Daphnia pulex: one gene and its partner. The protein of the gene in region 2 purifies or fractionates together with the protein of the main gene of each other region. This does not show direct contact. Links are inferred from orthologs where the notes say so. Each region holds a gene or a part of one and is shown on either strand. Other genes may lie near its edges. The genes, in order: 6-phosphogluconate dehydrogenase, decarboxylating-like; 3-ketoacyl-CoA thiolase, mitochondrial-like.

Region 1 (3,924 bases), on a different chromosome or scaffold from region 2:
CCTTCGGATGATGCAACCGCCACGCCACATGAGCGCAATTCCACCGTAGTTAAGTGTCCAGTCATACTGCTTGGCCGCCTCTCGTAGCAACATAAAACCTTGAGCATAAGAGACAATCTTTGAGGCATACAATGCCTGAAAAGAAACAAAATGGAATAATTTATTACAGACAGTAAAAATAAAAAAGAAACAGAAATAAAAGTTAGTGCTTACTTTACGGATAGCTTCAATGAATGAAGCCCTTTCACCAGAGTAAGCTTTAAAGGCAGGTGCAGGCAACACTTTAGAGGCTTCGATGCGTTCTGCTTGCAGAGAAGATAAGCACCTAGCAAAAACTGCTTCGCCGATCAGGGTAACTGGGACACCGTAGTCTAGAGCAGCAATGGCAGTCCATTTTCCAGTTCCCTTTTGTCCAGCAGAATCACGAATTTTCTCGACCAAATAATCACCTTTAATAAAATTTAAAGTTAAAAAATTATGTCTACAAATATGCTGTGAAGCTGCATACCTTTGTCGTCCTGGAAACGCAAAATATTGGCAGTGATTTCAATAAGAAAGGAATCCAACTCTCCCTTATTCCATTCATCAAAAACGTCAGCCATTTCAGGTGGAGTCATGCCCAAAACGCTTTTCATCAGGTGGTAAGCTTCGGCAATCAATTGCATATCGCCATATTCAATGCCGTTGTGAACCATTTTCACGAAATGACCTGCTCCACCTTCTCCTACCCAATCGCAGCAAGGCTCTCCATCACTTTTGGCAGAGATCGACTACGCCATGGGGAATCATAAGGAAAACTTTTAAAAATTCTATTCCTGTGGTATTATTAGTTGAGTTAAAAATTTCACCTGAAATATGGGTTTGATATGTGGCCAAGCTTCGATATGGCCACCAGGCATCAAGGAAGGTCCGTATCGTGCACCTTCTTCACCACCAGACACTCCGGAACCGACGTAAAGGATGCCTTTCTCTCTAAGGGTGGTGCACCGACGTGTTGTATCACCGTGCTCCGAATTGCCTCCATCAATTATGATATCACCAGCTTCAAGGAATTCTACCAGTTGGTCAATGAACTGGTCGACAGCTTTGCCAGCTACACAAAAAGAGAAATTCACGAGATCATTAAGTGATTAGGTTGAAATTATGGGGTTAGAAAATTATACCTTGCACGAGCATCATGACACGACGAGGTTTCTTCAATTTAGCGACTAATTCACGAACGGAGTGTGCCCCTACAACACTCTTTCCTTTGGCCTCGTTGTGAAGAAAGTCATCCACTTTCGACGTTGTACGGTTAAAGGCACAAACGACGAATCCGTGATCAGCCATGTTGAGAATCAAGTTTTGACCCATGACAGCCAAACCAATCAAACCAATATCAGCTCTGTGAAAGAGGAAGACAAAAGAAAATTAGATGAAAATGATTAAAACACAAAACACGAATTAACTTGGTGACGCACACTGGTTCGGGACAATTTAAAACGTGTTTACAAGCTGCAGCTCCCATGGTAGAAATGAATTAAACCAGAGTATCCAGCGTGAATGTCTCAAGCGATGGGACTACCGAGTGACAATAAGCTTGATCAAGCACATGACTCTCCAATAAGAAAAAAAAAAATACGAATGTAACTTGCATCCATGGAGAGAGCTGGAATGGAGGTAGTATTGTTTGCTGAAACAGAATTAAACGGTCCCGCCTCGACTTGTGATTGGCTGACACGAATTGTATCGACTGCTGTAGCAGACCACTCCACCTTGGAGCAAATTTAGGGGAAAGCGAGGCTGGCAAGCAGCAGCAACATATATTTCATTTCAAACTGGAAGGGTCGATATATAACGCCATAGTCACGAAAACTTAAGGAATTATTCACGAAAAGAAAATCCTCCATTGAATGTACCTTTCACAACCAATTGTTGCTAAGCAACTGCTCTATTTGTTATTGAGGTCGAGGATTTAGGCGAACTAGAAGCATTTCGACATGTACACTCACTTCTCCCAACATATGGCATAAGCTATTCTTGCCACATATTCCTTAGCACAGAAAGTAGTATTTATCTATTATGTGGGAAATTGATCTAGTGTAAAACCACATACTTTTTATCCGCAAAACCACAGTCGAGTAAGAGTGAAAACTATTCTCAAGGCGATATGAAACAAATAGAGACCACCACGAGGAACAAGAAAAAAATATGATCCCTATCTTTTGATTTAAGTTAACATCGGCATTTTAAAAAAATTAAAAAAGTACTTACACTTGTTCAGCAGACATTTTCAAAAGAAGGCACGCTTTCCTAGCCGGTAATGTGATCTGCAACGAACCGTGACTCGACAATTACTGAATAGGGACTGCGCGAGATCGTCTGTTTTATGTTGGAAAGGGAGGGGTAGACAAAAAATGCAAAGTAATCGATCATTCGTCCAGCCTAATTCCGTGCGGCTTGACGACAGGTTTTTATCCTATCAACAGCTGATAGGTGACAGCCCGCGCCACAACAGCCGCGTTCAGTCATCCACTGCGACAATATTCGTCGCCTCAGGGTGTGGTCAACGTGAAGAAACACGTATTTGCTTGGTCTGCGGTTGCTGTGATTTTCTACATAGTTGTAACCGCATTTCCTTAAATAACGGAAATTCTTATAAAGTCATGAGATTTGATAACCTAATTATTAGCCACCTTAAATTCCCCGGGAGGTAGGAATAGATTACCCCATTACTCACTTTCCCAGACGCACACAATCAGTATATAACTGTTCATATTATTTGTTCGTGTTGGAACTTATATCGTTATCAATTATATCTTGAAATTGAGATTTGGATGACGATGGTACTTTTAATACATCAACATAAATAATAATCAGAACCAACACATTCAGATCACTATAAGGATTGTAAGTGTTTTAACACCAAACCTACACTTGACTACTCCAACTCTATAGTGTCGTTTCTCATCATCACAAGTTCACAACAAAAAAGTAGACATTTGATTAAAAGATAGAAATGGACTAACGGATTAGAAAATTTCAAGCCGTAGGGTAACGAGAAACTCAGACGGAAAAAAATCTAAGTGAATGACTCGTAGGTCGGGATGAATCTTGTCCATTTGTTTACAATGGGTGACGGAAATTCTTGCCAGCGTACTTGGCAGCAGCTCCCAATTCCTCTTCGATACGCAGGATCTGGTTGTACTTGGCCAAACGCTCAGAGCGGCAAGGAGCACCGGTTTTGATCTGTCACGACACAAATTTCTAGTTAGTTTGGCACTTTAAACCACTTTTATTTTATTTTACCTGTCCAGTGGACAAGCCGACGACCAAATCGCCGATGAAGGAATCCTCGGTCTCGCCGGAACGGTGAGAGACCATGGTTCCCCATCCGTTAGCCTTGGCCAACTTGTGCGCGGCAATGGATTCAGTCACGGTTCCGATTTGGTTCACCTTCAGAAGCAAGCAGTTGCATGCCTTGCAATCAACGGCCATTTGGATACGCTTGGGGTTTGTGACCGTGAGATCGTCACCAACGATCTGACAGATAATAAAAATAAGTCAGAAATTGAAATAGATTGAAAAATTGTCTATAATCTTTTCTGTTTACCTGGATGGGAGTGTTGCCGGTGAGGCTAGTCCATGCAGCCCAATCGTCCTGGTCAAAGGGATCTTCAATGGAAACCATGGGGAAATCCTTGATGAATTCTTGGTAGAGTTCGGCAAGCTTGTTGGATTCCAGGTAAGTTGCGGGATCTGAAGCTGGGTTTTTGAAGTCCAAGTCGTACTTTCCGTTCCTAAGAAAGAATTTAATTCTCAGTATAAAGAAAAGATTTGTCTCAAGAGTAATAATTACTTGTGGAATTCAGATGCGGCAACATCCATTCCGATTTCGATCTTGCCAGTGTATCCAGCCTTTTCGATGGCGGTGGTGATCAGGTC
Region 2 (3,924 bases):
ATGGGTATCCACTACAGCGGGAATCTGCAAACGTTACAAGCTGTCCTGTCTCACGTTTCGCCTGACGTCGAAGTTATCGAGAGCGACAAAGGACTAAAAACATTTCGCCTTTTCTCTGCCATTGATGTCATTGTTGATAAAACTCTGGTTACATTAGAAGTACGCATCTTAATGATTTGTGAAGACCACTTCTTTAATGTTTAATATTTGATTTGTTTAGTGGGCGGCTGATTCTGTGAACGACATGTTCGCTGACGCAGTGCTTTCAGCTATCTTAAAGTGCGAATCTCTTCAAGGTTCGAGGACGATTGTGCTACCCACGACTGTTGATCATGCCCGCTTCAAGGTACTAAATTTTATTTGTTTGAGAATAATATCGGTCTAAACGTGTGAATTTATATAGGAATGCTTGATAGAAATGCTTCAAGATATGTTTGGAGATGATGCGGTTCCAAAAATGTTCAAAGGAGATAAATTCATTGTTACCGTTGACGGAAAAAGAGCCAATATAGATCTCACAGCATTGGTAACGTCTAAAATTACCGTTTTCTTATAAAAATCTAAATTCTTTTTTATTAAAGGAGGTGGAATGTCCTGAAGATGTTGGATTTCAACAAGTGGTTCAAACGGCTGTACTTAAATTATATCAATCTTTGGCACCAAAAGCAGAAAAAGTAAAATAACTTGTATTGATATTTAATAATGGAAGAATAAACAACTGCTAAAGTATTTTTATAATCCATCCATATATTTTTTGCATTGTTACTGGATTGTGATTTCTTAAAAATCAAAGTCTTCGCACTAATATTGCCCCGCACGAAGTAACAACCGATTAATTCATGCCCTCAAGAAGAAGAGCTACTCCTTGACCACCACCAATACAAGCCGATCCGATAGCATATTTCAGTTTGCGACGTCTAATGATAAAAGTAAAATAATTAGCATATGGTTCAACGCATCAAAGAAAATTAATTACCCCAATTCGTGAACCAAATGCGCGGTAATGCGCGAGCCGGAAGCTCCAAGAGGATGACCAAGAGCGATGGCACCACCATTGACGTTAAGGACTTCAGGATCCAAATCAAGTTCACGTTGGCAAGCAATAGTCTGAGCCGCGAAGGCTTCGTTGATTTCAACTGCACCAATATCCTTCAGCTGCAAATTAGCTTTAGCCAATACTTTACGAATGGCAGGTGCTGGTCCGATTCCCATGATAGTGGGTTCAACACCAGCAATACCATAACCAACCTACAAATAAAACAATTAATGATGTATTCATTAAAAGTGTAAAGATTTTGTATACCAAACGAGCCAATGGCGTCAGATTATGAAGTTTGCATGCTTCTTCGCTGGCCAATATGATGGCTCCAGCACCATCACAAATGCCTGATGCTGTACCAGCAGTAACAGTTCCATTTTTCTTGAAGACGGGAGGCAGCTAGTTTAAGTATCAGAAATTAGATATAGAAACATTGGAATCATATCTTTTATGGAGTTGTAGTACCTTGGCCAACATTTCCATGGTAGTTTGCACGCGCGGATGTTCATCAGTGTCAAAAGAAACAGGTTTCTTTTTAATTTCCAAAGATACAGGAGCCAATTCAGCTGTAAAATAAAAAAAAAAGATAAAATTATCTATGTATACATTCTGAGATATGCAAATTTTAATTACCTTTGAAATTTCCATTTTCATGAGCAGCTTTCCAATTCAACTGAGATCTGAGAGCAAACTTGTCAACCTCTTCTCGTGTGATGTTATATTTCTCAGCTAAATTCTCAGCAGTAATTCCCATCTAAAAATAATTGCAACAATAAAAAACTGATAAGAAACAAACAAACAAAAGGAAATATAATTACAGGGGTCTTGCAATGGAAGTCAGTTAGGGCAGCCCACATCATGTCTTCCAACTTAATATCAACTCCAAGTTTGGTTCCAAAGCGAATACCTCTAACAGCGTAGGGAGCTTGGCTCATGGAATCTGAACCACCAGCCAAAACAATTTGAGAATCTCCCATCAAAATATCCTGTAATACCAAATGCAATTGAATGAAATTTCCTGTCATTTTTATGGTGTGGAATTATTTGTGTTACATGTGCGCCATTAATAACTGACTGGAAACCAGAGCCACACAGACGGTTGACTAGAAATAATTTTTGTCTGGTTAATAATGTGTAAATGCTATTAAAATATGTTGATTTTACCTGTCAATGCTGGGGTAGGAATAGGAATGCCACATCGAAGTGAAACATGCCTAGAAATGTAGGGTGCATCCACTGAAGAGCAACTCAAGACATTTCCAATAATAACGGAATCTACAAGCTCTGGATTGACTTTGGCGGCAGAGAGTGCAGCCTTGGCAGCAATTTCTTGCAAATCAACGCAAGTCTTGCCGGCCAATTTTCCTCCAAAAGTACCGAACGGAGTTCTCTTGGCACCGACGATGAAGATTCCGCGTGTTAATGAAGCCATTCTGAACGAAAATTAGGTTGAGAACGGAAGATAGCAGATTAAACGTAGATACCTTATTAAGGGTTGACCGACTATGAAAGCAGAGTATTCGATTCTACTTTGATAACGTCTTTTACGTCTATATACAATGAGTAAGACGTATATGGTATGGTAAACGAGTACGAGATATCGTAGCAGACTAGCGTTGACCTAGTTGGCATAAAGTTGTAAGTTGTAACTTGTAAGTTGTAATTCGTAATTTTTAAATTTCACGAAACAGAAAAATTCATACACAAAACTGAAATTTAAAAATTCCAATTCCAAATCCAAACTAACCTCCAAAAATTACATTTGTTTAAAATAAATGGTTGTTGTCTGACAACCGTCTCTCCTAAATGAAGGCGGGGCTTGTGCAAACCAGTCGATATTTTTTACTTTAGAAACAATCCAGAGACAAGATACACATGGCTGCTCTAAGGGAAGTGTTGATTTTCAACTCCAAGTGCTTTCGGGGGGTATATATTTCCATTATATGATTTATTACAAATTCTACGAAATTATTAATGTTGTATAATTTAGGTTAGATCTTATTTTTGTTCTTCTCCCGCTTTTCAATATTCATCTCTTAGTCCCAACAATGCAAGTTCAAATGTTCAGAAATTGGATTTTGAGGAGAGCGATACGAAGCGGATGAGCAAAGCAATGAAATCATACATGGAGCGTGCAAAAATTCATGGTAAACATTTAAATTATTGCTTAATAGAATTTTGTTTATCTCTGAATTTGTTAGATAATTTCATCAAGGAGCAATTACACCAGTATAATATTGGGAAACGACATTTGGCAAACATGATGGGAAAAGACCCTGAATTCTTCACTCAGCATGATGTTAATGTAATATCATTACTCAAAATATCTTTTGAAATTTGTAATAAAAAAAAACTTTGCTATAACTTTTGTTTCATCTACATTTAGGAGGCTATCAGGTATTTGTTTCCATCTGGGCTGTACGACCCACGAGCAAGACCAATGATGAAACATCCTGACGAAATTTACCCCAAACGGAAAGCAGCAGAATTTGATATGAATGGCAGACCTTTTCACAGCTTATTCTACACATCAAAACCAAACTATTACAACCTTCTGCATGTAACATACCCTTTAGATCATTAACCTGTGTGAAACTGATATGATTTGTTTTCTCCCATTCACCAGGATTTAGCAGTCAAATTCAAGCAGCTTGATAACCATGAAGATAAAATGATATATAGAGGAATTCAAGATCAGCAGTCGAGTGAATTGTAAGTGAAATTATCTTACAAACTTTTTGACCTTACTAATATTTGGTATCATATCAAATGCTGATTAAAGGTAATTCTTTCAATTCAATGTCCTTCTTAATATATAGGTTTCTCTTTGGAACTGACTGGGTATCAAAGGAAAGTCTTGAGAGTGTTCTTCTTGAGAGTTTAAC

What was found.
Region 1: the proteins of 3-ketoacyl-CoA thiolase, mitochondrial-like (region 2) and 6-phosphogluconate dehydrogenase, decarboxylating-like fractionate together in Homo sapiens (co-fractionation; 3 studies listed by BioGRID). This does not show direct contact. The link is inferred for Daphnia pulex from reciprocal best matches to the Homo sapiens genes ACAA2 and PGD.

The regions. Positions count from the first base shown.
Region 1 is NC_060021.1:7,462,775-7,466,698, reverse strand, and holds the start of 6-phosphogluconate dehydrogenase, decarboxylating-like, read right to left. Parts: upstream 2,404-3,924; 5' UTR 2,271-2,403; coding exon 2,254-2,270; intron 1,576-2,253; exon of another isoform or gene 1,508-1,575; coding exon of another isoform or gene 1,461-1,507; intron 1,385-1,460; coding exon 1,164-1,384; intron 1,094-1,163; coding exon 849-1,093; intron 771-848; coding exon 509-770; intron 450-508; coding exon 2-449; intron 1-1. Other genes in the region: enolase-like, read right to left, coding at 3,106-3,228, 3,289-3,522, 3,593-3,779, 3,839-3,924. UniProt on the Homo sapiens protein: Catalyzes the oxidative decarboxylation of 6-phosphogluconate to ribulose 5-phosphate and CO(2), with concomitant reduction of NADP to NADPH.
Region 2 is NC_060024.1:9,776,372-9,780,295, forward strand, and holds 3-ketoacyl-CoA thiolase, mitochondrial-like, read right to left. Parts: upstream 2,655-3,924; 5' UTR 2,524-2,654; intron 2,473-2,523; 5' UTR 2,472-2,472; coding exon 2,204-2,471; intron 2,143-2,203; coding exon 2,093-2,142; intron 2,026-2,092; coding exon 1,858-2,025; intron 1,794-1,857; coding exon 1,673-1,793; intron 1,606-1,672; coding exon 1,505-1,605; intron 1,439-1,504; coding exon 1,304-1,438; intron 1,249-1,303; coding exon 977-1,248; intron 918-976; coding exon 833-917; 3' UTR 684-832; downstream 1-683. Other genes in the region: cleavage and polyadenylation specificity factor 73-like, read left to right, coding at 1-159, 221-346, 404-526, 582-683; 28S ribosomal protein S9, mitochondrial-like, read left to right, coding at 2,915-2,965, 3,030-3,186, 3,241-3,344, 3,426-3,599, 3,666-3,751, 3,859-3,924. UniProt on the Homo sapiens protein: In the production of energy from fats, this is one of the enzymes that catalyzes the last step of the mitochondrial beta-oxidation pathway, an aerobic process breaking down fatty acids into acetyl-CoA.